Linked DNA regions of Cricetulus griseus. The protein of the gene in region 5 interacts with the protein of the main gene of each other region in a biochemical or structural test. Links are inferred from orthologs where the notes say so. Each region holds a gene or a part of one and is shown on either strand. Other genes may lie near its edges. The genes, in order: Nr2c1, Ep300, Nr0b2, Hif1a, Hdac3, Gtf2i and Pparg.

The links.
Region 1: the proteins of Hdac3 (region 5) and Nr2c1 form a complex in vitro, tested with the Homo sapiens proteins (4 studies listed by BioGRID). The link is inferred for Cricetulus griseus from reciprocal best matches to the Homo sapiens genes HDAC3 and NR2C1.
Region 2: the proteins of Hdac3 (region 5) and Ep300 form a complex in vitro, tested with the Homo sapiens proteins (2 studies listed by BioGRID). The link is inferred for Cricetulus griseus from reciprocal best matches to the Homo sapiens genes HDAC3 and EP300.
Region 3: the proteins of Hdac3 (region 5) and Nr0b2 form a complex in vitro, tested with the Homo sapiens proteins (2 studies listed by BioGRID). The link is inferred for Cricetulus griseus from reciprocal best matches to the Homo sapiens genes HDAC3 and NR0B2.
Region 4: the proteins of Hdac3 (region 5) and Hif1a form a complex in vitro, tested with the Homo sapiens proteins (2 studies listed by BioGRID). The link is inferred for Cricetulus griseus from reciprocal best matches to the Homo sapiens genes HDAC3 and HIF1A.
Region 6: the proteins of Hdac3 (region 5) and Gtf2i form a complex in vitro, tested with the Homo sapiens proteins (2 studies listed by BioGRID). The link is inferred for Cricetulus griseus from reciprocal best matches to the Homo sapiens genes HDAC3 and GTF2I.
Region 7: the proteins of Hdac3 (region 5) and Pparg form a complex in vitro, tested with the Homo sapiens proteins (3 studies listed by BioGRID, with this or other methods). The link is inferred for Cricetulus griseus from reciprocal best matches to the Homo sapiens genes HDAC3 and PPARG.

What each region holds. Positions count from the first base shown.
Region 1 is NW_023276806.1:160,157,024-160,160,984, reverse strand, and holds the start of Nr2c1 (nuclear receptor subfamily 2 group C member 1), read right to left. Parts: upstream 2,801-3,961; 5' UTR 2,329-2,800; exon of another isoform or gene 1,861-2,328; intron 1,253-1,860; exon of another isoform or gene 1,044-1,252; intron 1-1,043. UniProt on the Homo sapiens protein: Orphan nuclear receptor. Binds the IR7 element in the promoter of its own gene in an autoregulatory negative feedback mechanism. Primarily repressor of a broad range of genes.
Region 2 is NC_048595.1:378,783,365-378,786,864, reverse strand, and holds part of Ep300 (histone acetyltransferase p300), read right to left. Parts: intron 2,631-3,500; coding exon 2,574-2,630; intron 1,710-2,573; coding exon 1,632-1,709; intron 611-1,631; coding exon 543-610; intron 1-542. UniProt on the Homo sapiens protein: Functions as a histone acetyltransferase and regulates transcription via chromatin remodeling. Acetylates all four core histones in nucleosomes. Histone acetylation gives an epigenetic tag for transcriptional activation.
Region 3 is NC_048595.1:19,710,461-19,714,475, forward strand, and holds Nr0b2 (nuclear receptor subfamily 0 group B member 2), read right to left. Parts: upstream 2,801-4,015; coding exon 2,260-2,800; intron 540-2,259; coding exon 298-539; 3' UTR 36-297; downstream 1-35. UniProt on the Homo sapiens protein: Transcriptional regulator that acts as a negative regulator of receptor-dependent signaling pathways. Specifically inhibits transactivation of the nuclear receptor with which it interacts.
Region 4 is NC_048598.1:129,464,591-129,468,090, forward strand, and holds part of Hif1a (hypoxia-inducible factor 1-alpha), read right to left. Parts: intron 1,193-3,500; coding exon 1,086-1,192; intron 1-1,085.
Region 5 is NC_048595.1:199,688,234-199,692,451, reverse strand, and holds the start of Hdac3 (histone deacetylase 3), read right to left. Parts: upstream 2,801-4,218; 5' UTR 2,695-2,800; coding exon 2,640-2,694; intron 2,545-2,639; coding exon 2,462-2,544; intron 318-2,461; coding exon 175-317; intron 1-174. Other genes in the region: Rell2 (RELT-like protein 2), read left to right, coding at 4,176-4,218. UniProt on the Homo sapiens protein: Histone deacetylase that catalyzes the deacetylation of lysine residues on the N-terminal part of the core histones (H2A, H2B, H3 and H4), and some other non-histone substrates.
Region 6 is NC_048597.1:113,419,601-113,423,702, forward strand, and holds the start of Gtf2i (general transcription factor II-I), read right to left. Parts: upstream 2,801-4,102; 5' UTR 2,675-2,800; intron 1-2,674. UniProt on the Homo sapiens protein: Interacts with the basal transcription machinery by coordinating the formation of a multiprotein complex at the C-FOS promoter, and linking specific signal responsive activator complexes.
Region 7 is NC_048601.1:29,399,470-29,403,694, forward strand, and holds the start of Pparg (peroxisome proliferator-activated receptor gamma), read right to left. Parts: upstream 2,801-4,225; 5' UTR 2,784-2,800; coding exon 2,564-2,783; intron 1,366-2,563; coding exon 1,196-1,365; intron 1-1,195. UniProt on the Homo sapiens protein: Nuclear receptor that binds peroxisome proliferators such as hypolipidemic drugs and fatty acids.

The DNA.
Region 1 (3,961 bases), on a different chromosome or scaffold from region 5:
TGAAATTGAACAATAAAGTTATGTCTTTGATGGAGCATAAGCTTCATTTTTTTCATAATGATTTATGGCTCTCAAGACATTTGCCAGATTATTTTTAAATTCAATTATTTAAAAATGTTGCTTCAAGGAAGTAACTGAAATATATTTATGTTAAAAGATAAAATCCAAAGTTTTACTAGAAAAGCTAACATGAAAACAACAGGGTAAAAACTGGCTCTTTTGAGACATTTACATAGAGATGATTTTATAAATAAAAACAACCTCCTCAGGCAGGAAAGATGTCCTTCAAAAGGCCTAAAATCAGTTCCTCCACCCACCTAGTTCCAGGAGATCTGACAACTCTTCTGGCCCCTGAGAGCACTACACACCCTCCACACAGATATGCAGGCAAAACACCCATACATATAAATTAATTCTTTTCTGAAAATCTAATGGATCTTCCCCTCCCCAGAAAATCGAAAGTTCATATTCCTTCATACTCCAATATTAAATGTCAACAGGTTTACAAAGCACGATGTAAGTCCAAGGGATTCCCTACGTAGGAGTCACTAAGATAACATTTTAGCAGTTTATCACGATGAACAGAAACCATGGAAAGCAACATCCTCAATACCCTATTTCAATCTCCTACTTTATCTCTGAGACCTGGTTCAAATTCCATTTTACACACTATTTCTGAATGATCCAGTGTACAAGAAGAGTTGAGTGGGACTCAAGCAAACGTCTGTTAATTCTTAAAATTTTTGAACAGAGTCCCATTTTTCTAGAAATGGGAGAGAGAGAGAGAGAGAGAGAGAGAGAGAGAGAGAGAGAGAGAGAGAGAGAATTGATTGTGAGAGCACAGACGGTCTTCTACTTATTGTATAATGTTTGCCTTGGCTATCACTGGGATAGGAATTACACACTTCATCACACCACAGTAGCTATTTAGGGTTTGTTGCCATGGATTTGTCCCCTTCAAAATCTTTCAACTGTGTCACACAGAATGATGAAACCAGTTACATTTATTGGCACCACGTGTTTCTGTTTTGTTTTGGTAACAGACATACTTATCTTCATTAATGACAATGAAAATAACACGAAAACAGCTTTGAAACAAGAGTTAGGAGTTTGAAACCAGACTGAGGAAGCAGTACAGAATGAGCCGGACACATGAACTTTGGTTACCACCACCCTTCCACCACAGACCTCTGGAATGACCGCCAATGGAAAAATTACATTGTATCCAAAGGTTCAAGATGCACAGTCAAAGGTTACTGGACATATTGATACTAAGGACATGCTACCTTTCCTTTATCTTCTACAGGTCTTCTGGGGTTTGGATACATAGCTTCTAAACCAGTCTGGCCTAGAACTCCAGGCGATCTTTAGCCTGGATCCTAACCTCCAGGGGACTGGGATTACAGGGTGCTTCCCCAGCCTGGCTCCTCCTGTGGGTCGCCCAGCATGTTAGTCCAGCGTGCTCGTCATCAATAGTAAATGGTCCACAATAAATTTCCACGTTTCTCACCTTCCTGGAATCTTCTCTCATTTACTTGGATTTTTATCCCCCAAACTTACAATTCCTAAAGCACTCTCCCAAAACGATTTTCATCTTTGCAGTTTGAATAGAACAGATCAATAATGTCTTTCTAAATTCACCAAAGTGGACACATAAAGTTTTAAAAACAATTACCCAACTGGGTAAACAAGCAGACACTGTGTAAAACAACAACAACAAAAAACAAACAAAACAAAACCCCTCCTTCAATGTCTGAAGCATACTTTTAACTTTCAGGGGGTGGGGAAAGCCCTAAAACGATTTAACTTCAAGTTTTTTTTTTTTTTTTTTTTTTTTTTTGCTTGTCCTTTCCAACTCAGGCTGACCTGCTTACTGAAGGCTAAGGGACAACCTGCCAATATCTGCCCTTCATGAGATGCCACCTGCAGGAATTGGAGACAGGACTCTTAACAAAAGGGCTACCGGGAGCTGGGATGAGCCCAGTGCATGGGCCACCTCTCCTCCTAGATACAATCGCCACGGTTGCACGTTCCCTCGGTGGAAGAAGAATCAAGTGTGGGCGGAGGGCGACACCCCGTAGCCCCGGGGTCCGCGGCCCGCCGCTCCCTGCCCAGCACCCACCACGCGCGCAGCCCCGGGGCGGAGGAAGCAGCGCCCAGACGGAAGCGTTCCCCGAGGGTGAAAGGTCACCGTCCCCGCCCGGGCTCCCGCAGCTTCGGGCGGACCGCTACCTCCCGGCACTCGGGGAACCGGGCGCTCGGACACTCGGGCGCTCGGGCCCCCGGGCCGCGACGCTTGGCGGTTGGGCCGTCCCGCACTCGACTTACCCTTCCCGCCGCGGCGGCCGCTGGGCTGGAGAGAGCTGACGCGAGGGTAGCCGAGGCCAAGGGGACAAGGGGAGCTTTCTGGGTTTGTGGATTTGGGGGTGGGGGTCAGAGTTCGTGACCCCTCCCTCGGCTCGGCGGTGCGCGGTGCGCTCGGCGCCTGCGCGTTAGCGCGGTGGCGAAGCGGCCAGCGGCGGTGACGTTCCCTGGGTGAAGCCGAAGGCCCCGGAGTCCAGCGGCGGTTCTGGAAGTCGATTGCCCCCTGCAGGTGCGGAGGGAGACCGCCGCCTCCGCCGCCGCGTGTCGGTCAGATGTCCTGCGAGTTGAGCATCAAGTTCTTAGACCTGCAACTTGCGCCGGGGCCTCCGAGGGCACTTGCAGTCAGTGTGCACATACCCAAACATGCATAATCAGAAATCAACGACAACCGAGGGCTGGGTGATGACTCGATGGTTAAGAGTACTTGTTGCTCCTCCAGAGATCTCGGTTTGATTCCCAGTACCCACAGGACCGACCGGTCAGAACCTTCTGTAACTCCGGTTCCATTGGATTTGGTGCCCCCTTCTGGTGCACCAACATACGTCCAGGCCCAACACCCTACACATAAAGTAAAAATCTTAAAAAAAAGAAATTCGAAAGTCTTTTGAAACCCGACCTGTTGGAAACCCAGACTTGATTTTTAACACGTGGTCCTCCCACCTTCCTCTCCAGTGCTGTAGGATTTTTTTTTTTTAAAGTTTTATTGATTTGGGTGTTTTACCTGAACCTTACGCCTGTGCATCCATCACAAGTGTGCCTGGTGCTGGTGGAGGCCATCAAATCCTCTGGATCTGAAGTTACAGATAGTTGTGAGTGGCCACATGGGTACTGGGAATTGCCAGTGCTCTTAATTGTTGAGCCATCTCTCCAGCCCCTTAAAGGAAGTTTTGAGTAACAGTAAACAACCTAATCAGTTTGGGATAGATGTCTTTGATCTCTGCAAAACTGGACTTGGTTTTATAGGCACTCTCATAGATTATAGTGTGTTAAGGAGTCTGGGTAGAACCCAATCACATACAACTTCCCTGCAATATGAGAACAAGCGGAGGCAAAATCACGTCAAATTGTACTTGGGTGTGAAGGAGCCAGTTGCCCATTTCGGCAGCCATAATGGCCGAACACATGCTTGCTATAACCTTGCCTTGGTCACTTAGAGGTCAGATGCCTGCCTCGTGGCAAGGAACCAATCAGAAGTTAGCTGGTGGTGCTATGCTTAATGGCTCTAGGTGTGCTTTACAGACAACCACACAGCAATGACACACAGAGCATAGCAACCACCTGGGAGGGCCTATGGGCCTTAACCAGTTGACCAATCAACAAAGGGCAAACCCTCCAAGCCTGGAGGCACACCAATCCGGAGCCTGTGCATACCCCTAGACACTCCCCTTATGCTGCCCTATAAAGATCTGTACGCAGCGGCTTCAAACTGTCTTTGCTAGCCATCTGACATGGCGGGTGGATCAAAGACCCGAGCTAACATGGGGTTAGCTCGTTAAACAACAATAAAGCCTCATGCAATTTGCATCAAGCTTTCACCTCCATTCTGTGATTGGGGTGGCCGAGGTCCTGGGCTAAGATCCTGGAAGCCTGAGCTTTC
Region 2 (3,500 bases), about 180 Mb from region 5:
TATGGCCCACATTTTAACATGTGTCAGAACAGAAAAAAAAAAAATTAACAAAAATCCCTTTTAAAGATTTTTTTTTATAGTTCAGTATATAGAATTATTTCATTTTGCTGGGCGTTGGTGGTGCACGCCTTTAATCCCAGCACTTGGGAGGCAGAGGCAGGCAGATCTCTGTGAGTTCGAGGCCAGCCTGGTCTCCAGAGTGAGTGCCAGGATAGGCTCCAAAGCTACACAGAGAAATCCTATCTCAAAAAACAACAACAACAAAAAACCCAACAACAACAACAAAAAGAATTATTCCATTTTGGTTAAAAAATTTCTTTTCTTTTTATAGAGGGTCTCATTACTTAGCCAACACTGGTCTCAAACTCAGAGATCCAGCTCCCTCTGGAATACAGGGATTAAACACTTGGAACAAACAGTGAAAACTAATTTTGGCTGGTTTCATATTCACTAGCAGTCATAGACATCTGGGATTAAAGGCACAAACCACCACTACTTGGCTATATAAGTTTTAAATAAGAATTATCTCAAATGATACTTACTTTTAGCAGAAAACTTATTTTCTTTCCTAGTACGTGCAGTTTTCTTTAAACAGCCATCACAGACAAACCTAAAATGTAATTCATGATACAGCTTATTATAACATAAAAGTCAATTAGTTCAATAAGAGAGCATTCCACAGTGAACAAATCCTAGCCCCTATGACATAAACTTGAATCTCTTAACTTGTTTTTCCCCCCTGGGAAAAAAGATCAGCTCCTCTCTACAAAATGAGAAGTACCCTTTCTGAATCTCATTTGACTTCTAATTAATCTTTACCATAGTACAGCTATGTAACTTACTGGTCTCCTAGCCCCACAGAGTCATTCTGCATACCATTCCAATTTATGATGTCACATGAAGGAGGACTATGTAGTCCATGGCTTTATACCAACACCTATACCCTTTTAAAGAATGTACTATCAGTAAACATTTTCAAGTATGGCAAATTTAGTTATAGCTTACAGTAGCTTTAATATCAGCATTAAAATTCCTTCCTTTATTTTATGGAGACAGTTTCTCACTGTGTTGTCTAGATTTAAGTTCTTTCTTTATTTTTTTTAAATGTGTATGGGTATCTGCCTACCAAAGGATGACAGGTGGGTCCCATGCCTGTCCAGCCGTTACAGTTGTTTTTTTTTTTTGGGTGTCCAAACACTTTTAAGTGCTTTATCCAGTGAGCCAACTCTTCAGTTGCTCTTTATAGTTTTAAAAAGGGTTTGGACTGATCCTTTTCTAATTGAAGGAGAAAAAAAGTTCTGGCAATATTAGGATAGAACCCAGAGCCTAACTTGTAGCAGGAATGTGCTGTACCAGTAAGCCATATTCTGATCCCAAAGAAAATACTTAGAAGACTGTAACTTTGCCCAGATACAGTAATGTAGCACACCTTTGATCCTAGGACTCTGAGGGCACCAGAGGAGGGTTCTCGAGTTCAGGGACAGTCCAGTCTACATAGCATGTTCCTGGCTACATAGTGAGACCCTAACTTGACCACAATCAAACAATAACTTTGAACATATAATACAGTCTTGGATAAGAATGCTCATGGAAAGAGAACAAAATACTTCTGCCCATGTCCTAAGCCTCACCCAGATGGCCAGATGATCTCATGGTGAAGAACACAGATCTGGTGCATCTTTCTTCCACATTCTGTGCATTCAACAAACCTAGAAATGTAAATGATCAATTCTAAGACTGATCTTGAATTATCAGCAAACAAAATGTTCATTGTTTCCTGTAATTTCTAACAATTCAATAGTCAACCACCTGTCCTGCCAAAGGATTAAAAAATTAGTTTAGTCAAGATTTTTGGCTTTAATGTAATAGGTTAAATGAATTTGAAAACCATTAACGCATAGCTGTTAAATCAACAATCTAAAATTTCAATGCCCAAAGACCGAGAGAAGGTAACTGCTGAGACTATAGAGTCATCCCACCCCATTTTCAGAGTAACCAGAAGGAACCTTTGCTTTTTTACTTTTTTTATTCCCCTGAAGCTAAGGACTGAATCCAGGACCTTGCACTTGCTTTCAAGAACTCTACCACTGACTGAGCTATATCCCCAATCCCAGGAACCTGTACTTTTCATCAGTGCCCTAGGCTCAGAAAGCCAACATGTGGCTAAGGATTCTCCACATGCCCTGGAAATGCAGGAGAGAGCACAGCCCTGGGCAGTAGTAGTGTGATACTTGACAGTGAACACTGAAAGAACACTAACTGTAAGGGTGATAGCCTTAGCCCCGGAATGTTTCATATGTTTTTACTAGCTGTTAACATTTATGACATGGAGATGTTAGCATAAGAATATTAAACTTAAAAAAAAAAAAAAAAAAAAAAAACAATAGTAAGTCATCTCCCAGCACTTGGGAGGAAAAGATAGGTGGATCTCTGAGTTTGAGGCCAGCCTGATCAAGAGTGAGTTCCAGGACAGCCTTCAAAGCTACAGAGAAATCCTGTTTTGAAAAACCAAAATTAAGTTATCTTGGAAAAAAGGCCTAGAGTGCATTGACAATTCAGAGGAAACTACTTACAGTTCAGGATCTAGCGTGTCATTTTTTCTCTTGGAAAACTGTTCTTTATTTATTGTACTAAGGAGAGAAAATAAACATAATAAGAAAAAATACACATACAAAACATAACTTGAATATATAGCAATCTGATGTTTGAACAAAATTCATTTTCTGTATTTCTTTGGTCATAGAAAATTCAGTTGTATGTAAGGAACGTTCTACTTCATAATTAAAGGTGTGTCCTTCTGGAAATGGGGTCTTATTACATGGCTATGGCTGGCCTTGAGCTCACATAGCTCTACCTGCCTCTGCTTCCCTAGTGTTATCATATCTGGCTCTTCTCTTTTAAAGGCTGGTTCACTATATAATGTATACAGTATATAAATTTTATGATCTCTGGTTCCCAGACTGTGAACATGGTGGTTAGAAACTATTTAAGAATAGTTTTAGCCAGGCATAGTGGTGCACGCCTTTAATCCCAGCACTCAGGAGGCAGAGGCAGGTCGATCTCTGTGAGTTTGAGCCCCGCCTAGTTTATACAGTGAGTTCCAAGACAGCCAGAGGTATATAGTCTTAAATAACAAACAAAGGCTGAGGATAGAGAAATGCTTGAAGTTTGATGCTAGTCTAGAATAGAGTAATATCCTACCCTCATTGACACTCCAAAAACAACACAAAAACTAACCAGTTGATATGTCAACCAGAGGTGTGTACCTCCAATCCCCAAATTAGAAACCAACCTGTACAACATAGTGAGATCCTACTGGGGTGGAGTTTAAAAAAAAAAAAAAAAATCACTCCTCACTATTTCAGGGAGGTTTGCTTTTAGGAACCAGATGGTCAAGTACTGTATTTTTCCATGTATATCTGCATACCAGAAGATGGTACCAGATCTCATAACGGATGGTTGTGAGCCACCATGTGGTTTGCTGGGAATTGAACTCAGGA
Region 3 (4,015 bases), about 180 Mb from region 5:
CTTGCCCCTTCCATAGGCAACCGTGGTGTCAGCAGGTCATACCTTTTATTACAAAAATCAATAACTTAATTGAGTTCTATACAAAGTCAGGAGGAATTCTGGCCTGAAGTACAGCCTCATTCATGCTCCCATCTCTGTCCCTGGCCCAAAGACTTTGGGGGGCCACCAAGGACCTATTAGGCAGTTAGTATACTGTGTCCAAACCAAGGAAGTCCAAGCTGGGGGCATGGCTGAGGTGAGGGCTGCTCCTGGGGAGTTGAAGCTCCCCTTTGGAAGCCCTGGATTCCACTCTGCAGGTCACCTCAGCCAAAGCATGTCTTCCAGCAGTTCAGCGATGTCAACATCTCCGATGATAGGGCGGAAGAAGAGATCCACCAGAAGGCTGCATGAAATGTTCTTGAGAGTAGAGGCCATGAGGAGGATTCGGGCCAGGCGGCCTTGGCTAGCAGGGTACCAGGGCTCCAGGACTTCACACAAGGCCCAGTGAGCCTCCTGCTGCAGGTGGGAGATGTGGCAAGAGGCATGGAGGCCTGGCACATCTGTGGCAGAGAGGGTGAAGAGGGCTGGTGAGCAGCTGCTCCGTGGAGGCTAGCCCAGGGTGTGAGAATGTTAGTGGCTCCCCCCCTCATATGCCGGGGTGCAATGCAGGGCCTCGTGCATACTAGGGCATGCTTGGCAGGCATTCTACATTTGGGCTGAACATTGCTGGTTCCTTTAACATGCCAGGCGATAGTTGTACCACTGAACTACATTCCCAGCCCTTACAGATACAGAAGAGACCTAATTGTTTGGTGGTGTTAGGCAACAAACCCAGGACCTGTAGCTCGGGAGGTAATACTTTACTAATGAGTTCCACGCATTGGCCCACTCTGCCACCTTGGAGGTTTCAATCACCATCTCCTACATTTTATTCCATTTATGTGGAGATAAGGGCTGAGACATACGAGTTAGAGAGATGGCTCTGTGGTTAAGGGCACTTCCTGCTATGACTGAGGACCTGAGTCCGGTTCCCACCTACATTGTGGCTCACAACTGCCTATAATTCCAATTCCTGACACCCTCTTCCGGCTTCTGTGAGCTCCCACCAGATGATACACATACATACAGGTAGAAACTTACACACATAAAATAATATCTAAATAATTCTTTTCTTATTTTGTTTTTTGAGACAGATTTTCGAGGTGGTGACACACTTTTAATCCCTGTACTTGGGAGGCAGAGGCGGTTAGATCTCTGTGAATTCAAGACCAGCCTGGTCTACAGAGCTACTTCCAGGACAGTCAGAGCTGTTACATAGAGAAACTCTGTTTCAAAAAACAAAACAAAAAGCCAAAACCAAAAAAGAACCAGAGGCCGGTTGTTCGTGGCAGGCCTTTAATCCCAGCACTCGGGAGGCAGAGGCAGGCGGATCTCTGTGAGTTCGAGGCTGGCTGAATTTGAATCCCAGCACTGCCACTGTGAGCTCAGTGATCTTGGACAAGTAGTTTCATCTTTCTGAGTGACCTTAGATGAGTAGTTTAAATCTCTGTGCCTTAGTTTCTTCATCTATCTAGTGGGAACAATGACAATACTTGTTGCCCACTACTGCTGTGAGGTTTAACCAAATCACTATTTGTAAAACCCTTAGGCTAAGTCCTGACATATGGGAAATGCATGTGATTCTTTGGTACTGTTACTGCCGTTTGGCGTTACACTTTAACTTCCAAGGCCTGTCTCTTGTCTTCCTCAAAGTTACAAAGAATATTTTCCCATGCCAGGCATGGTGTTAGTTTGAGGTCAACTTGCTTTACGTAGTGAGTTCTAGGCCAGCCAGGGTTCCGTGGTAAAACCGCCTCATTTCTCCTCATCGCCCCTCACCCCACCCCATCTGCTCTCCACCCAAGAAGTGACCACTCCCCACCCTTCCATTCTTTCTGTGTGGCCGCTCTGAACCCACGGAGGACTTTAACCTTCAGAACTTCACTGTGCAGCCTGCCCTTGAAGAAGGCAGACACTGCACACGGCGGTGTCTGCCTTACCCACTCTACCCTTCCAGCACAGCGGCAAAGACCAATCTCTGCATTAGCTTGACTTGCATTCCCAGGCCTGTTCTGCCTCTGCCTTACTGTGTGGCCTTCAGGTAGTTGCTTAACCTCCCTGTCTCTCCTGGGAGATACCTGTTTGGAGCTAACAAGGACGCAAAGAGACAACGATTCTTTTCCTGGACGGGTCCTGTCCCCTCCCAGCGTGGCCCCCATCCAGGAGTGTCTGGGAGCTCACCTGGGTTGAAGAGGATGGTTCCTTTCAAGTAGGCATACTCCTTGGGACCCAGCTCAAGGCTCCAGAAAGACTCCAGACAACGCTGGAGCCACTGCACGGCAGCCAGTGAGGGCTGTGGCCGGTCGGGTAGCTGGGTACCCTGCGTACCACTGCTGGGTTCCTCCAGAAGGATTTTTTTAAGTATACTGGGCACTGGAGCCTCAGCTATCTCAAAGGTCACAGTATCTTGGGCCAGCCCAAGCAGGAAGAGAGGGCCCCAGCAGACCCCCAGCAGCCGTCGCTGATCCTCATGGGGCAGGTGGCAGAAGGACGGCAGGTTCCTGAGGAACGCTACTGTCTTGGCTAGGACATCCAAGGCCTCCCGGCAGGTGCGCTGTGGAGCACTCAGACGGACAGGCCGGTGCTGCTGGCAGAGGCAGTGGCTGCGAGATGCGGGTGCAATGGGCCTGGCCCTGAGGCTGGGGCTTAGAAGCGCGTACAGAATAGCAGGGCGGCCTGCAGAGCCCTGGCAGGGGCAGCCCCCAGACTGGCTGGAGTTCATGGTTGGTATCTCGCTCCTGTTTCTTCCCAGCTATCGGTCCTCTGTACTGTGAGTGCTATTTATATCCTCGATGGCGGGAGGGGGAATGGCCGTGGAACCTTGACTCCAGAAGTCATGTTCATTGAAAAAAAAAAAAAAGCCAACATACACACACAATGCACACATACACTGACCCTGGCAGGACCGGAGGGGGAGGGGCACTGGAGCTCCACGTGGCGTTGCTATCGCTTTAGTCAATGAAGTGGCCATTGCAGGGCACAGGGCCACCTGCCCACTGCCTGGATGCCCTTTATCGGATGACTCAGTGTATAAACAAGGTCATTAACCCAGGCTGTACCAGGGCACCAAGGTCTCAGGTGCTCAACCAGCCAGTGGCTGTGACTGCTGCTGTTTCGATTGGAGCCCACTTTCATGCACACAAGACCAGGGTTCTCACTGAGCCAAGGAGCCAGCCAGAGAAAGCCAGCTAAGGCCTTGAATGCCTGACCCAGCCTGGAAGTGCCTTATCGCTGCTGTGTTTGCCTAACCTTGGGGCTCTGCTCCTGTTGTCGGTAAGGAACAGGCTGCAGGGAAGGGAGCCAGGTCCCTGGGGGACTTTGCTCATTGTACAGTCTAGGAGGTACCCCCTCCTGTGACTCCAGTGCAGAGGCCCCGTTGGAGGAAGGCCATTCCAGAGCCCCCTGCTCCCATTCTGTGCTCCAATAGCTCCAGAGGGGCTGGGCCTGCTGGCCCTTGCAAAATTGTTACTTACAAGGCTGCCAGTTACTGAGGACCCACTCTATATGGATCACTTTCCCTTGTAATGTTGAGAACTTCCCAGAGAAGTGACCTGCTCAAAGTCACTCCAACCAGAAGGGACAGAGCACAGATATGTCTGACCTCGAAGTCATCCTTGTTTGCCCCTCCCCCCCCCCCAATCAACTGTGCAGCTGAAGTGTGAATTTCCCAGCACAGGTGGCTAGCAGCTACCCCCACTCCCAGCCCCCAGCCCCTGCCTGGTCTGCAGGTGTGGCCCACCTATGGTGCGACTGGAAACATCTCTGCTAACACGCCGCTTCTCTGCCCTGGATATTTGTCTTCAGTGGTTAGAGGCGAGGTATGAGGGAAATGGGAGGTCCTTGGCTGTGTCAGGTTCCTGACCTTTGGCTAGCCTTGCCTAGCAGGTTTGTTGTCGCCACACTCTTGGGCAACCTGGTGCTCCGGATGAGGAGCCCT
Region 4 (3,500 bases), on a different chromosome or scaffold from region 5:
TCAGACTAGAGACTGATCACAGGGTACATTTAAGAAAATGGAGCTGGGTAGTGGTGGTGCACCTCTTTAGTCTCAGCACTCAGGAGGCAGAGGCAAGCAGATCTCTGTGAGTTCGAGGCCAGCCTGGTCTACAAAGCTACATAGAAACCCTGTCTCAAAAATAAAAAAAGGGGCTGGCCAGGTGGCTCTGTGGTTAAAAGCACTGGCTGTTCTTCCAGAAGTCCTGAGTTCAATTCCCAGCACCTACATGGCAGTTTACAACTGTCTATAACTCCAGTTCCAGGAGATCTCACATCAATGCACATAAAATAGTTAAATAAATTCTTTTTAAGAAAAAAAAAAAGAAAGAAAATGGTACCAGTTTTTTTAAGCACCAGAGAACCAATCACTGTAAAAAATTATACTCAGAACATTTGAATATATAAGTTCATGTCATACTATAGCCTTCTGTCAATTCATGCAGTCTAAATTAATTACTGACTTAAGAGAATGTAGTAAATCAATCATGATGATGCCGTTGTGAGTATCCATGCTCTGACTACAACTTAGGCATACTCTGTAGTTCAAGGCAAATTACACTAATTCAATGATACTCAACTCAGTACCCTCAATCATATTGGGAAGTCATGTTTAGGTCCAGATTAAATAGGCAAGTGAGGAATTATGAAGTTTAACTTAGTTTGGTATCATAGATTTATTTGAGTAAAATTCAGAAACCTCCTATATGTCAAGGGTGTCAGTTATCACATGTGTATACTAATCCTACTCACTAGTTCATGAACAAATGCTTTGTGACTACCTCCTATTGACCAACCACTGATTTCAGTACATATGTACGTAGGCTAGATAATCTATAATATTTGACTTTTATGGGATACTTTATGTATTTATTATTAAATGACTTTACTTTTTGCTAATATTTGTAACAAAACAATAATTTCATTATCAAGACATCTTATGAAGGGGCTGTAGGATGCTTGTCTAAGGAGACTGGGTGGTAATTTTAACTAGAAAGTAGAGGTACAGTACAGACTGCAGGACTTAAGCAATGACACTATTTCCTTGAGTTCCTCTACTGTACTTACTGTCATGATGAGTTTTGGTCAGATGATCAGAGTCCAAAGCATGATAATATTCATAAATTGAGCGTCCCAAAAGTTCTTCTGGCTCATAACCCATCAACTCAGTAATTCTGTTTAAAAAAAAAAAAGATTATCTTTTGCTTAATAAGTTTAGAACTCACACTTAACTATTCTATACTTTGGCTGGGCAGTGGATTCCTTTAATCCCAGCACTCTGGAAGCAGAAACAGGTGGATCTCTGTGAACTTGAGGCCAGCCTGGTTTACTGACAGAGTTCCTGGACATCAGGGCTATACAGAGATACCCTGTCTCAGAAAACAAACAAAAAACCAAACAACAAAACCAAAAAACACCCCATCCCCCCCCCCCCCCCCCGGCAAAACAAACCAAACAAAAAAACCCCAAATTCTGTACTTAGTATAAAGTCACTTAGATCAGTCCCTGATATCTGACTTATCCCTTTTACCCAAACTCATGACCTATTTTTTAAAACACATTTCATTATACACACTGTTGGTATCAAAGCAGGGTATATTAGTAAATCTTAATGATGCTAAATGAAATGACAAAAGTTCCAAAGACAGTCACAATTATCTTAAAATACAGTATAAATCTATAGCAGTTTATTTTTCATTCAGTGAAAATCTTTACCCTATTTTTAGGCCTGTGGCAAGGCCTCACTTTAATATCAACTATAAAATTTCACTATTAAGCCAAGGACATCCATACTAAATGGAAAGTAAATATTAATTTTCTAAAATTAAGAGGATTTCACATGAAAGAACGGCATCTAAAAGAAAAAGGGCTGAAAACGGATTCAGGGAGCCTCCTGGTCCCTGGGTATCAGCCTGGAAACCATGAGGACCCATTTTATGAGAAAGACAAGTCTGTCCTCGTCACATTAAACCAATTACAAACATTTTTCACTGAAGTCTTTCTGGGAACAAACATGAACCAAGTGTTGACACTTCTCAGTTTAGATTCCAGAGGACTTAAAAAAAGCCAACAAACAAAAAAACCAAGGTGCAGGTAAAAGATACTCATATGTCTAAAAAGCAAACACCTAATTACAGAATGGGCATAAGGAAGGTATCTTTGTTCATAACAGTATGTTAAATAATATAGCTTAGCTGTTACAGTTTAAGATCTGCCATTTACTCTAAAACCAACAAAGCAGATTTATTGAAGCATAAATCAAACTTTGACTCTTCAAAAAGGGATAACCAAAATACACCAACACTAGATGGCAGCATTACAAAGATAAATAAAATATACTTTAAAAATATGTGTTTTCTCCTTCATCCCAGAATGGTAGTAGGGATTAAATCTAGAGCAGTGATTCTCAACCTTCCTACTGCTGAGACTCTCTAACACAATCCCTCATGTTGTGGTGACCCCCAATCATAAAATTATTTTCATTGTTACTTTATAACTAATTTTGCTACTGTTCTGAATCATAATGTAAACATCTGTGTTTTCCAATGGTCTTGGGCCCCCTGTGAAAGGGCCTGTCAACTGTCAAAAGGGACATGACTCACTGGTTGAGAACCCTGATATGGGGGCTCACAATGCTAGACAAAGGTCCTCCCTACCCCATCTTGGTGCTGGTGATTTGGAGCTGGTGATTTGTACTAGTTTTCAGTTTTAAATGTTTGCTAAGAATTTCTTGCTCTATACCACCTCAGAATCAAGACACAGAAAAAAATTTGCCCAATTTTAAGAAAACCTTTACATCACATTTCTAGCATCCAGGACCATTAAAATGGGCCATCAGGTAAGGCACCTGCTACCAAACTTGGCAGCGTGAATTCAGTTTCTGGAACCCACGTGGTGGAAGGTGAGAATGAACTCCCACAAACTGTCCTCTGTCCTCTACCTTTGTGCTGTGACCCACATGAACCCACATACATGCACTCACACATGCTACCGCTGAGTGTGGAGGTGCATCTAGCCCTAAAAATTATTTGAATTGCTCTTACATAGTTTTACACACGTAAATAAAATTCCAACATAATGAAATACTTTTTAATTAAACATTCATGTTTCTGGTGTAATTCTAGACATGAAAACACAATGAGAAAACCTAACCTGTGGGCAATCTTCTGGTAAATAACTTGCTTGTCATTTTATTATATTTAGATTTAATTGCACACTTTTTCTTTCTTTCTTTTTTTTGAGACACAGACAGACTACAAAGTCCTGACTAGACTGGAGTCCGTATGTAGTCCAGGCTGGCTTTGAACTTTTGGTGACTTCCCTGTCTCAGCCTCCCAAGTGTTTTGAGATCACAGACATAAACCACCACATCCAGAATGTACAGCATCTTTTGATAAATAAAAATCTTCCCATCTACAATCCTACAAGAAACAACTGATGCATTTCTAATAAGAAATTGGCATAATCTGATCATTACCTTGG
Region 5 (4,218 bases):
GGCTGGCCTCAAACTCAGAGATCTGCCTGCTGCTGCCTCCTGAGTGCTGGCTCAAAGGCGTGCATATTTACTGAACAATCAAATGAGTGAATGATAATTTATTGACTAGTAGGCTCCTTCTACTGCTGCCACAAGGCCTCATTGAAGAGCCTGGCCTCGAGGTGCTTCCCTCACCAGTCATCACCCACGTTGAAGGCATTAAGGCTCTTGGTGAAACCCTGCATATTGGTGGGGCTGACTCTCTGCAGGAAGTCGATGTAGTCCTCAGAATGGAAGCGGCACATGTCATGCTGGGAGGCCTGGTAAGGCTTGAAGACCTGGAGAATGGAGACAAAAGTGAAGTTGTTACCTTGAGCACTGCCTAGATGCTAGCTGAATTTCTACACTACCCTGATCTTACCCTTGAAGGCAGGATGCCTATAAGGCAGAAATTCCTCTCAGGGAGGCCAGCCAAACAGGATCAGCCCAAGAAGGCTACCAGAGTGACCAACTAGACAAGACCTCACTTAATTATAATCCCACCAAAACACTGAATGATACTCCCAATTCCATGACAGGGAACAACTGCCATGGTAACAACTGGAAAGCAAAAAGAGAGAGAAGAGTGCCTGAATTCCCAGAAATTTTCTGCCCAGTCTCAGGGAAAAAAAAAAATCCTTTTCTTTATCAGTCTATTTCTCTTACCTCCTTTTTCACTCTATACAAATTCTTTTTTAATTAAAATTGATTTACATTATTTCACTGGGGTGCGGCAGGGGAGGGGGGTAGGTAGGTATGCATGCCACAGTGAAGCCAGGGATAACTTAGATGTCAATTCTCTCCTTTCACCATGTGGGTTTCAGAGTTCAGACTGAGGTCACCAGGCTTGGAGCCAGGTACCTTGACCCACTGAATCATCACTCTAACCCCCATACCTGTAACCTCTTGATTCCTAAGAGTTGTAAAGTTTATCTCTCATTTATATTCTTGACCAAGAATAAAAGTCCCTTTCACTGTTCATTTGACACATGGTCTTGTTACTGGTTCCAGAATTCCAGGAAGGGGTCGGGGGCCGGGAGGCCCAGTTTGAATGCAAAACCTAACAATAAACCCAGGCATTACTATGCCAGCCCCAGGCTGAGACCACTTACACTGAACCCAGCCATGGAGACTGTCCAAAACATATATAACAATCTCCCTACCCCCATCCCTTAGTGAAGAAGAGATGCTATTAGCCAGGCAAGCTACTTTTATCAAGACCCCTGAGGATCATTTCGTCTAATTCCTCTCTTCAGCCCAGTCTCTATCTTCCCAGCCCACTTCTCCTGGCCCACATGCCTGTTCCTAGCTTCCTCAGTCCTGGTTCCCTCTATACTTATCTCCTCTCTTAAACTCAGGTTCTGGTCTCTTCTCTGGGTTTTTCACCATGGGATCAAATCCATGAGATATATGACAATCTAACTGAAATCCAAAGTCCTAAACCAAAGATTTATTATCCTCGGTGGGGGTAGAGGTGGAAGTTCAAACAATGATTTGAAAATTGGGCAAGAAACACTTTTTTTCCTCTCCTAGAAAACGGATAAATGGACACAGACAATTTTAGGGGATTCAGACTTGCACTAATACCACCTCAGTCTACTGTACACCCAAACCACTGCCTGCGCCTAAACACACCAATGACATGTTGAATACCTTCATGGTACACAAGGGCCAGGCTTGCTACATGAGAGATGGGAGAGTTGAGCAGAACCATATAGATACATTCTATATTAAAAAGTAAATTCCTGCCAGGCAGTGGTGGTGTACACCTTTAATCCCAGCACTGGGGAGGCAGAGGCAGGCGATCTGAGTTCAGAGACCAGCCTGGTCTATATAGAGTGAGTTCCAGGAAAGCCAGGGCTACAGAGAAACCCTGTCTCAAAACAACAATAACAACGACAAAAAAAGTAAATTCCCATATTCTCTACACATACACACCACAAAGGAGTGCAGAGTTGTCCTAGCTCCTTTCAGGTAAATGGAGGAGGAGAAGGCGAAGGAATTATGGGTGAAATGTCATTAGAAAATAGACCCTCATCCTTGGTCCTGAACCACTATCCCCTCTACAAAGAAGAGGGGCTAGAGGTGTAGTTCAGTGGCAAAGTACTCACTTAACGTGTGAAACCCTGGATTCTATTCACTAACACTTAAATAAATGAAGTGAAGGGATGAGCCTGTCGCCCTAACCCTAGGCCAGAGGCTGGTCTCCCCTCAAGTTAAAAGGAAGTCCCATCTAAGGTCAAAAATGTATGTCCCATTACGAAAGGGGACACCCCCGACTCAGTACCACCACCACCACCGCCATGCATATAGGAAACGTTCACGGTGCCTTCTATCCTGCTCCCCCTCTAGCGGCAGGTTGCACCTGGTATATCCAGCCCACCTAGCCTAAGGCCGCAGCTTGCTCCCAGGCCCAAACCCCCACAGAAGTGTCAGGACTCACGATCATCTTCTTATAGAGACCATAATGCAAGACTAGGCTATGAGTCAACGCCAGGCGATGGGGCTTCATCGGGTGCCCAGCTCCTGGGGATAGGGAAGGAAAGAGTTGGTCAGTTCCCACCCCTAGAGTTGCAGCCCTTCCCGGGAAACCTCTCCTCCCGCACAACTCTGTGCCCTACCGTAGTGGAAGTTGCCCACATCGGGGTCGTAGAAATACGCCACGGTCTTGGCCATGATGTTGGGGGACCAGGCCCCGAGCCTCAGCCGCCCGACCGCCGCCGGCCGCCAGCCCCACCCCCGCCGTGCGTGCTGCGCAAGCACGCAGCCTACCGCTGCGGAAAAGAGCCCTCGGCCCCGCCTCCCAAGATCACATCCAGACCACGCCCCTAGTGGGAGTCCCGCCCCTTGTGGGAGCTCCGCCCCTTCCCTTGCTGTCCCGGTCCGGATTCTGAGGCTTGAGACTCCGTGCTTGGGCGGGACCCGCGGCGTTATTCATAGGACACAAGGGCCGTTTCTTTCTGGACGAGGGTCATATCCTCGGGAAACCGAGTCATTCTGTCCACCCACTAGCCCCAAACGGGTCTTGGGGCAGCGTTCCCTCTCTAGGAACCTCGGAAGGTCTGGGCATCCTGCCTCTCTCAGGTGTAGAAAGCCAGATTTTCCCAGGCGCTAGGAAGATTGCTGGCTTTCCACTCATCCGGGGAATGTGAGGGCAGGACCTGTGCCAGACATGAGGGCTAGACCAGTGGCCAGAGCCCCGCCTGACCTCCCGACCACCCACGAGGACCCAGACTCACGCCGCACATTCCTCCTGGGGGAGGGGGCGGCGCAGTCACGCGCACATCTCACTTGCGTTCACACACGCGTAAGGCTCACGCTCTCCGCCCCGCACACCTGTGCTCCGCCCCTTGGTCCCGGGCCCGTGACACGATAGGCATTTGGGAACCCAAGACAGTTTCAGAGGCGCTCCCCCATCTCCTCCATTTCCCGGGCAGGAGTGGTCCGGAGCCTGCCGCGGCTCCCAACCAACCGGTCCACATCTTCCGCCATCCTTCCCTCCCCCCGTCTGCCGCGGCACCGGTATCCGCAGCCACCAGCCCGGAGCCGGTGAGGCGGCATAGGGGGGAGGGGGAGGAAGCAAGGGATGAGCTCCGGGAGGGCGTCGGGGGCCCTGAGCCGGACGAGGACGCCCCTGGAACCGGGACCCGAGCCAGAACCGGAGCGGGAGACAGAACCAAACCACCGGTACCGGGTGGGCCAGGTGGCCAGGGTGGGAGGAACGAAAAAGAGGGGACCCAGGAATGCAAGGAGGGGAGGGGGCTGTACGAGGCCTGACTCAGGCCGGTGTAGAGGAGGTATCAACACTGACTCCAGCGTGTTTTCTGAGCTCGCTGTTTGAGAATTTCGTCCCACCTTGTGCTGCAGTGTCCTTGGAAGGGACGGGGGCGCGGGATGAGCTGTAAAAAATAGCGGTCTGGATGTCAGAAAAGTGGGGCTGGGTCGTGGCAGAGGGCTTTCGTAGATGCCATCTGGCCTCCAGCCTGTGGCGGTCTTGGCCGACCAGCACCCTCAGTCTGGACAGCTCCTAGGTTCGGTCGGGGGTGGGGCGGACCTCTTATTGCGGATCCTAAGATACCTTCCTACTCTGCGGGTACCCAGCTGCAGCCCACTAAACCCAGGAGGCGCCCTGGCCCGCGCTCGCCCCCCAGGGCCTCATGTCGGAACCACAGCCTGGCCTGGAGCCGCCCCAACATGGGC
Region 6 (4,102 bases), on a different chromosome or scaffold from region 5:
CTGCCACTGAAAACATATTCAAATACAGCTGCTATGGCACCATACACTTGGCACCTGGCAGAGGACATGGAGACTGGGCCCTAACCAGAGTTTGCCACTCCTCATACTGAGTTGCCTTACCCAGCCTTAATACATGGGGAGGTATTAGTCTTACTGCAAGTTTGATATGCCATGTTTTGTTGATATCCATGGGAGATCTGCCCTTCCCTGAACAGAAATGGGGGAGTGGAAAGAGGTGGAAGGTAGGGGACTGTGGGAGGGGAGGAAAAGGAAACTGAAGCCGGGATGTAAAATAAATATATAGATTAAAAAAAAAAAAAAGTAAAGGGACAAAGACAAAACCTAACCCCCTAAGGTCCATCATCCTAGCTATTCAAGCAGCTGAGACAGGGGAATTGACAAGTTTAAAGATGACCCGGGATACAGAGGTAATTCAAAGCCAACCTGGACAACTTAGTGACTATTTCAAAAAGTAAAACAGGGGTGGAGTGTGACTTAATGGTAGAATGCCAGTCCATCTTCAAGGTGCTGAGAGCTTTGCTCAATAGGAGTGCTTGAATAAGGCGCATGCTACTGTGTTTCATACTCCAAAATGGTAAATATGGGTACTAGCATGCCCCTACCCAAGGACGACCCAAGGGACAAGAGAAAGTGATCCACATTTTAACAGGGCAAAAAAGAAAAGAACTCATAATCCCACAACATAAAAGGCCTTACAGAAATGAGCGCAGATGAGTGAGAAAGTTTTCCGTGCCTCCAGGGTGTGAGGCAAGATCCAGAGACTCAGGCATAAAGGAGCCCGAGGCAACAGACTTAAAACAAACAAACAAAAAAAACCCTGGTGTAGGAAGTATCAGCCATTCCACATCCAAAACCAGGTGCCTGTGGGTACCGTACCCGCACCCCCTTATTTGCAAACCAGCTTCCCTTTTGCCCTGTAAACGCCCAGAGACAATCAGGCAGGCTGAGCCAGCAGCTAGCACACAAGCAGCCGGGATGCAATGGCCTCACACTTCACCTCCTGTTCCCAAACACAGCAGGCACTCCACCAGCACCATCTCAGATCTGCACTCTCAGCAGTCAAGGAGCACAAAGCCTCGAGGCACCGAGATGTACTAGCGGACAAAACTTGAGAGCTAGACCTGTGATGCCAGCACCAGCACTCACAAGGATCGGAAGCTCAAGGCAAGCCTCAGCTACAAAGCGAGTTCCACGGTAGCCTGAGATACAAAATACCTTACTTAAAAATTAAAAAACAGCCGGGCGTTGGTGGCGCACACCTTTAACCCCAGCACTCGGGAGGCAGAGGCAGGCGGACTTCTGTGAGTTCGAGACCAACCTGGTCTACAAGAGCTAGATCCAGGACAGGCTCCAAAGCCACAGAGAAACCCTGTCTGGGAAAAAAAAAAAAAAAAAAAAAATAAGCAAAACTTGGGCAGGACGTGGTTGCACCGGCCTTTAAATTCCAGCACCCGCCAGGCCGAAGCAGGCGGATCTCTATAAGTTCCAGACCAACCAGGCATACTGAAGTTTCCCGCACCCCCAATAAAAGGTAGAAACTTGAAAAAGAAATGGAGGTGCAGGAGTAAACTTTTTTCCATCCCTTCTTTTGTACCCAGTTACCCCGACGCAGACTGATTATTTCCACAGCCTCAAGACTAAAGTCTTCCTTCCGGTCATTGTGTTTATTTCCATCTCCTCTCCCCCTACTCCCCCCCCCCACCCCCGCCAAAAGAAAAGTCGTGTCCCCGCGGGATCCCAAGGCAACAGCTTCGGACAAAGCCCACAAGGCTGCGCTCCACCTGGGAGCAGGGCGGAGCGCCGGCCGGCCAGGGCGGGCGCTGGCACTGGCGCAGGCTACAGAGCCTAGCAGCTCCCGCCCCCCTGCCAGGGCCCCCGCCGCAGTTACCAGGGCACCGACGACGCCCCGCCCCGTGGTGCCCGCCGGCCAATCGCGCGCGGTCTGCTGCCCTAAGAGCTGCGAGCCCCAGATACACACGCACACACACATACATACACACACACACACACATACATACACACACACACACACACACACACGCGCGCGCGCGCGCGCGCGCGCACACACAAACACATACACACACACGCACGCACACAGCGAGCCCGAGCGCGACCCCACGGGGCTCACTCAGGAGGGGCCGCGGCACCGCGCGCCCCCGGGAAGCCGGATCGGCCAATCAGAGCGAAGGAGAAGGCTGCGCGGCCCCGCGGGGTGCGCTCGCTCTCTCGCTCACGCGCGGGGGGCTGCTCGCGCGAGACCGCCCCTCCCTCCCCGTCCCGCGACCCCCCCACGCGCGCGCGCGCCCGTCTGTCTGTCACGTACGCACGCGCAGAGCGCCGCGAGCCCTCCCCCACGCGCCCCGGGTGCGCGCGTGCAAACTGCCGTCGGCCCCCCACCTCAGCCGCCCCATCCCCCCCAAAGCCGCTGCCCAGGCCCCCGAGTGGAGTGGGCTAGGGGGGGAGGGGGGTCTCGGCGCGTCCTCTTCCTCACCCCGAAGTTGTCCCCGCCGTCACTCACAACGCGCCGGGCGACCCCAACTCTCACGCCCCGGGCGGTGCGCACGAGCCCGACGGGGGCAGAGTGCGGAATAAAGACGCCCCCGTCGGCCACGGCGCCCCGAGGCCGGAGGGGACGCGAGGGCAGGGGACTCACCCGAAGTGCAGCCGGGGAGGGTCGGGTCGGGTCGGGGAGGGGGGACGCGGACAGCGAGCGGGCGTAGGCCGGAGGGGCCTCGGCGGAGGCGAGCTGGCGAGCCGGGTGGAGGTGAGAGGGCGAGGGGGGCCCTGCGTCTCGGCCGCGCTCCTGTCACCGCCGCATGGCCGCCCCCGGCGGGGCCTCGCTCCTCGCTCGGATCGCCTCACGCGGGGGGAAACGGAGGGACGGAGCCCGGGGGTGAGCGCGGCAGGCAGGCGGCGAGCGCGTGCAGGGAAGCGGGGGGGCGCCGGTGCCCCCTTTTCTCTGCTCTCCGAGCTTCTCTCTCACCCTCCTCCTCCTCCTCCTCCTTTTTTCCCCTTTTTTTTTTTTTGCTTTTTTTTTTTTTTTTTGTTCCTCGAAGGTGCCGCTGCGCGTGCGCACGAGCAGCGCCGCCCACCGGGAGTTGTAGTTCTAGACTGGCGCTCACCTACACGGCGGGTGGGTACCCCGAACTATAACTCCCAGACAGCCTTGCGCGATGAACCCAGATTCTCTCCCCACCGCCCCCCTTTAGGCCGAGGCGAAGCGCCGCGGCGCCCGGCCCTCTCCGGCTAGGATTGTCGATGGAGGAGCGCGGGTGGTGGGAGCGAGAACATGGCTGCACCTGGGGCCTGCGCGGCCGTCCGGATGGGGGAGGGGAGTGGGGTGTGTGTGTGTCCTCCCCACCTTGCTTCTGCTGCAGGCCACAACTTCCACTTAAATAACTGTTTGCAACCTACATTCCCTAACAAATTGCAAAGTTGGGGACATTGCAAAGACCAGGGGAGCCCCAGGGCTGGACTATCGCCTGTTTTGCAGAGGGAAGTCCCCCAGCTCCCGTACACAAAGAACTCAATGTTTTCAAAGCTGGCCTTAGAAGCAACCAGAACGAACTTGCCCTAACTTGGTACAGACAACGGATGGGAGGGGGTGGGTAACTCGTGATTTCTTTTTCTCCTCTCTCGAGTCTTTTGCACACCTCTACAGTTAGAAAGAAAACTGGGAAAATACCAATTGTTCCCACAACTACAAAGAGATTTAACTTAAAGCCCCTCCGTCCATTATATATATATATTTTTTTACTTCTCAACTATTTGGTAAGATCAGTGACTTTAGAGAGTAACAACTAACTGTTCGTCTAACTTAAATGCAAAAGTTTGAAAAGCCCGTGTCTGAAGAACTTGTTAATGCAGAGCACTAAATTGAGTGAATTTGTGGAGTTGGTTCGTTTGTTTGTTTTTTTCCTTTTTCTCTTTTTCTGCCCACCCCCTACGCCAGCCGAGTATTCGGGCGCCCTCCCCCACCCGCTGCTTCTCGGTAGGTGGCGGCCACAAGGCTTTTTCCAGCCTCCCAGCCTCTTTGTCGCTTGCTGGAAAACTTTCCATGCAAGCCGGTCTTTTGATGTAG
Region 7 (4,225 bases), on a different chromosome or scaffold from region 5:
ATGTTTGTAGAATGTGGTTAAATATTGGCAAAACACACACACACACACACACACACACACACACACACACACACACACACACACACACGTGCGCGCGCACGCGCGCGCGTACTATCTGCTGGGGGTAAGAATTTAATAAAAACTAGTTTCCCTTTTTGGCCTATTGTCCATCTGGAACCCAGAAGTACTAACACATGCCTGCCTGGTGTGTTTCGTCTTTATTACCCAGGAAAAGCTCAAGTGAAGCAGTACTTACTTCATTCATTTATGTTTTATTTTGTTTGGAGACCAGGCTGGCCTTGTACTCACAGAAATTCTCCTGCCTCTGCTGCTGAGTGCTAGTATTAAAGACATGCACTACCAAACCCCCAGTATTTATAAGGCAAGGCATTCTATGGGCACATGATAAATATTACTTTATCCCTGAGTATGTTAAGATTATTTTAAAACTATATAAAAACATGAATCTATTCATGTATTTTCCTTATAACTGGGGCAGCATATCACTAACTTCCTAAAGTACTCTTTCACAAAGGAAGTGCATAGTTATCTCTTTTCGCATATTGAACAGGCTTAGATTGACACGGGGCCAAGGAAACATAGTACTAGCTTAGGGCTTGGTAGGAACAAACCTTACTAATCCATAATTTTGCTTTTCCTAAGGGTGAAATCTACGATCTTGCACCTGCTCTACCATGGCAGCCCTCACTCTGGTGACCCCATGCCTTTGATTCACAATTTCTATAGCCACAATGTAGAAATACGTTCAATATTATAGCATTAGTCTATGGATCAAATGATACACAAATATAATCTGTCAAATCGTACGCGTATAAGAGATTACATAGCATGGCGAAAACCACCCTAGGGAAATCAGGGAACTTAGGTTCTGATGCTGGCTCACCACTCACTGTTTTTCTATGACATCTTGGACAAGTCCTTTAAAAAAAATTCTGCAAGATACACTTGGATGAGTGTCTCAAGAGTCATTTTGGAGAAGGGGAGGAGAGGCAGAATAACCCCACTTTTATCAGCTTTTCTTAGATTTTTCAAATATTATATTACTTGAAGAATGAGTTCTGCCAAAAAAATTACTATTTTATCTTAATTTTTTTTACAGTGAGTTTGCAACAGGAAATGGAATAGGTAAAATTTCAGAAAATTCTTGGATGATTTTTTTAAATTCTATTTTTACCTTGCATCCTTCGCAAGCATGAACTCCATAGTGGAAGCCTGATGCTTTGTCCCCACAGACTCGGCACTCAATGGCCATGAGAGAGTTGGAAGGCTCTTCATGAGGCCTGTTGTAGAGCTGGGCCTTTTCAGAATAATAAGGTGGGGATGCAGGTTCTACTTTGATCGCACCTGTGTATTGGGAAATTTGAGAAGATGGTTATCTCATGACAAACAATCCTAAAAAGGCACCGTGGCTTCCCATGGTGGCCTTCATATTTTCATGCCATAACGTTACTATCTTGGAGGAGAGGTGCTGGGGAGCATGAAAATGCACTGGTGCTCAGATAGGAAAAAGTAAGACTTTATCATCTCAGGCAAGTCCCAACACCCCAGAACCTCACCTGCACAAATAAATCCGGAAGGGAATTAAGATCGAGGGAATTAAGTCTGCCCCCTCTCTCCCACATACCCTACAGACACTGCTCAGGGTTTGAAGCCATGCAGCTTATTTGGCAAAAGGATGGGCTGCATCTGGCACTCATTCTGTTATTATGGGTTTCATTGAAATGTTGCACTTTAGAAGTAGTTTTAAACCTTCCTTGAAAAAGCAACAGAAGGAACATGGCTGAGAAGATGCCAAAATTGCAGCCTGAGGTGGCAGGTTATCAACAGAGTTGAGTCAAAAGGTGGTTTGTAAAGTGATCTGTGATAGAGAGCAGGAGAAACCTATTGCCTTTGCTGGTAGTTCAGGCCTAATGAATTTCCATATTTGGCCTTAACCCAGAACCACACAGATAAATACAACCACGTATACTATCTATCTAAAGAAAACAACTAGAAATTACAGGAAGTTCTTACTTATTATCAGGTAATGATTGCCAGTGACACAGGGGTGACTCTGGAAAACCAGCACATCAACCCACAAGATAAAAATCAAGGAAACAGCATCACAGAAATGATACTTTATCTTGAAAAGTTCAGTTCAGTTCTGTTTTTTTTTTAAAGTCTGATGTTTGATGGTAATTTACTTAATGGCATGATGATCTATCAATCAGCTACAGTGTTAAAAATGTAAATTTGTACAATGTAAATGTCACAAACTACAGATTAGAAAAAAATATAACTGTAAATAGTAACTTAGTGGTGACCAGTCATTTGGTCTACAACTATGATTTATTAACTAATAAGAAGCTGGAAGAATTCAAAGTTTACAGGATGGACTAAGCCTAAGATACAACTGGCAATGTAATCAGGCTAGACACGCTCCTAAGAAGGCATCAAGAAAGGAAGGAAAGGAGGGAGGGAAGGGAAGGAAAGGGGAAAAAAGGTTGGGAAGAGACATGTGCTGTCTTCATGTATCTCTTAGCCATTTGAAAAGTGAACATACTTTGGTATTCTTGGAGCTTCAGGTCATATTTATAATCAGCAACCATTGGGTCAGCTCTTGTGAATGGAATGTCTTCATAGTGTGGAGCAGAAATGCTGGAGAAATCAACTGTGGTAAAGGGCTTGATGTCAAAGGAATGGGAGTGGTCATCCATCATAGAGAGGTCCACAGAGCTGATTCCGAAGTTGGTGGGCCAGAATGGCATCTCTGTGTCAACCATGGTAATTTCTGAAATGGACAAAAGAACAGACTATGAGTCAAGTTCTGGAGGAGAAAGCAGTCCTCTAAGAATGCATAGAGAGGGAGCTGAGTTCACTCAGACTACCCAGGGAGGGAGGAGTGCATTATGTCTTCCTAGCACCATCCACATGGCTTTACAGTGAGAAGGAAGTTAGCCTTTACCTGAGTAAAGCAGACACCCACAGTGTGTAGCTACATGGAACAAATCCATCTAAATGTGAGCTCTGCTCACATTGTCCTTTACAGCAGGTCATCAGCTGGATCTGGTAATGGCTATTTCTCTTACTTCAAATTTCATCCACTTTTATTAGGATATAGCTGATAAAGTATTTAAATGATTACCATAGCGATGTTTTGATATAAGTATGCACTGTGAAATAATTGTCATCATCAATTTAATTAACATACCCATCACTTTGTAGAATTGTCATTGTCTCTGTGTTGAGAAAACATAAGATTTGCTTCCTTAGCAAATTTCAACTATATGATACAGTATTGCTAACTGTAGTCATCTTGTTGTCTATCAGTTCTCCAGGGCCTAATGGAAACTCTGTCCAGTCTTCCCATTTCCCTTATGCTCAATCCTCAGCAACCAGGAAGGATGTATGGTATTTGCTTTCCTGCTTCTGGCTTATTTCCCTTAGCATAATGTTTCTTTGGGTCATCTATATTGCTACAAAGGACAGAATTTTCCTTTTAAAAGGCCACACAATACTCCAGTATATGTATATGTGTGTGAATGTATATACATGTGTGTATATTTGGCATATGTGTGTATATACATACCACAGAGGGTTTTTTTGTTGTTTGCTTTTATTTGTTTATGTGTCTTAGATTCTTACATAGATTTCATCTTTTGGCTATAGCGAATAGTGACATAATGTATGCAGGAGCATAAAAATCTTGACATAGTGGTTTTAGTTCCCTGGTCATATGTCTAGCAGTGGGACTGCTGATCACATGGAAATTTTGATTTTTCTGAGATCTCCACATGTGTTCTATAATGTCTTCACAGTATATAGTATACATCTCCAAAAAGGTTTCTGTTATTCCACATAATTTCATCAATTTATGTACCAGTCATTCTAACAGGTATGGAACAGTATATATTATTGTAGCTTTGATTTGCATTTTCCCCAGGGATTAGTGATGTTGAATACTTTTTTCATATACCTGTTGACCATTTGTATGTTTTCTTTTTAGAAATAGCTATGATAGCCTTTGTGCATTGTCTTGGACTGAGATCTTTGGTGTTTTGTTACTGATTTGCAGTTTTCTTGTGTGTGTGTGTGTGTGTGTGTGTGTGTGTGTGTGTGTGTGTGTGTGTGTACACATACATGCATGCATGCATGCCCACTCACATATACGCTTGTGCATGTGGAGGTGTCATCCTCAGTAACACCTTTCACAACCTTTGAGATT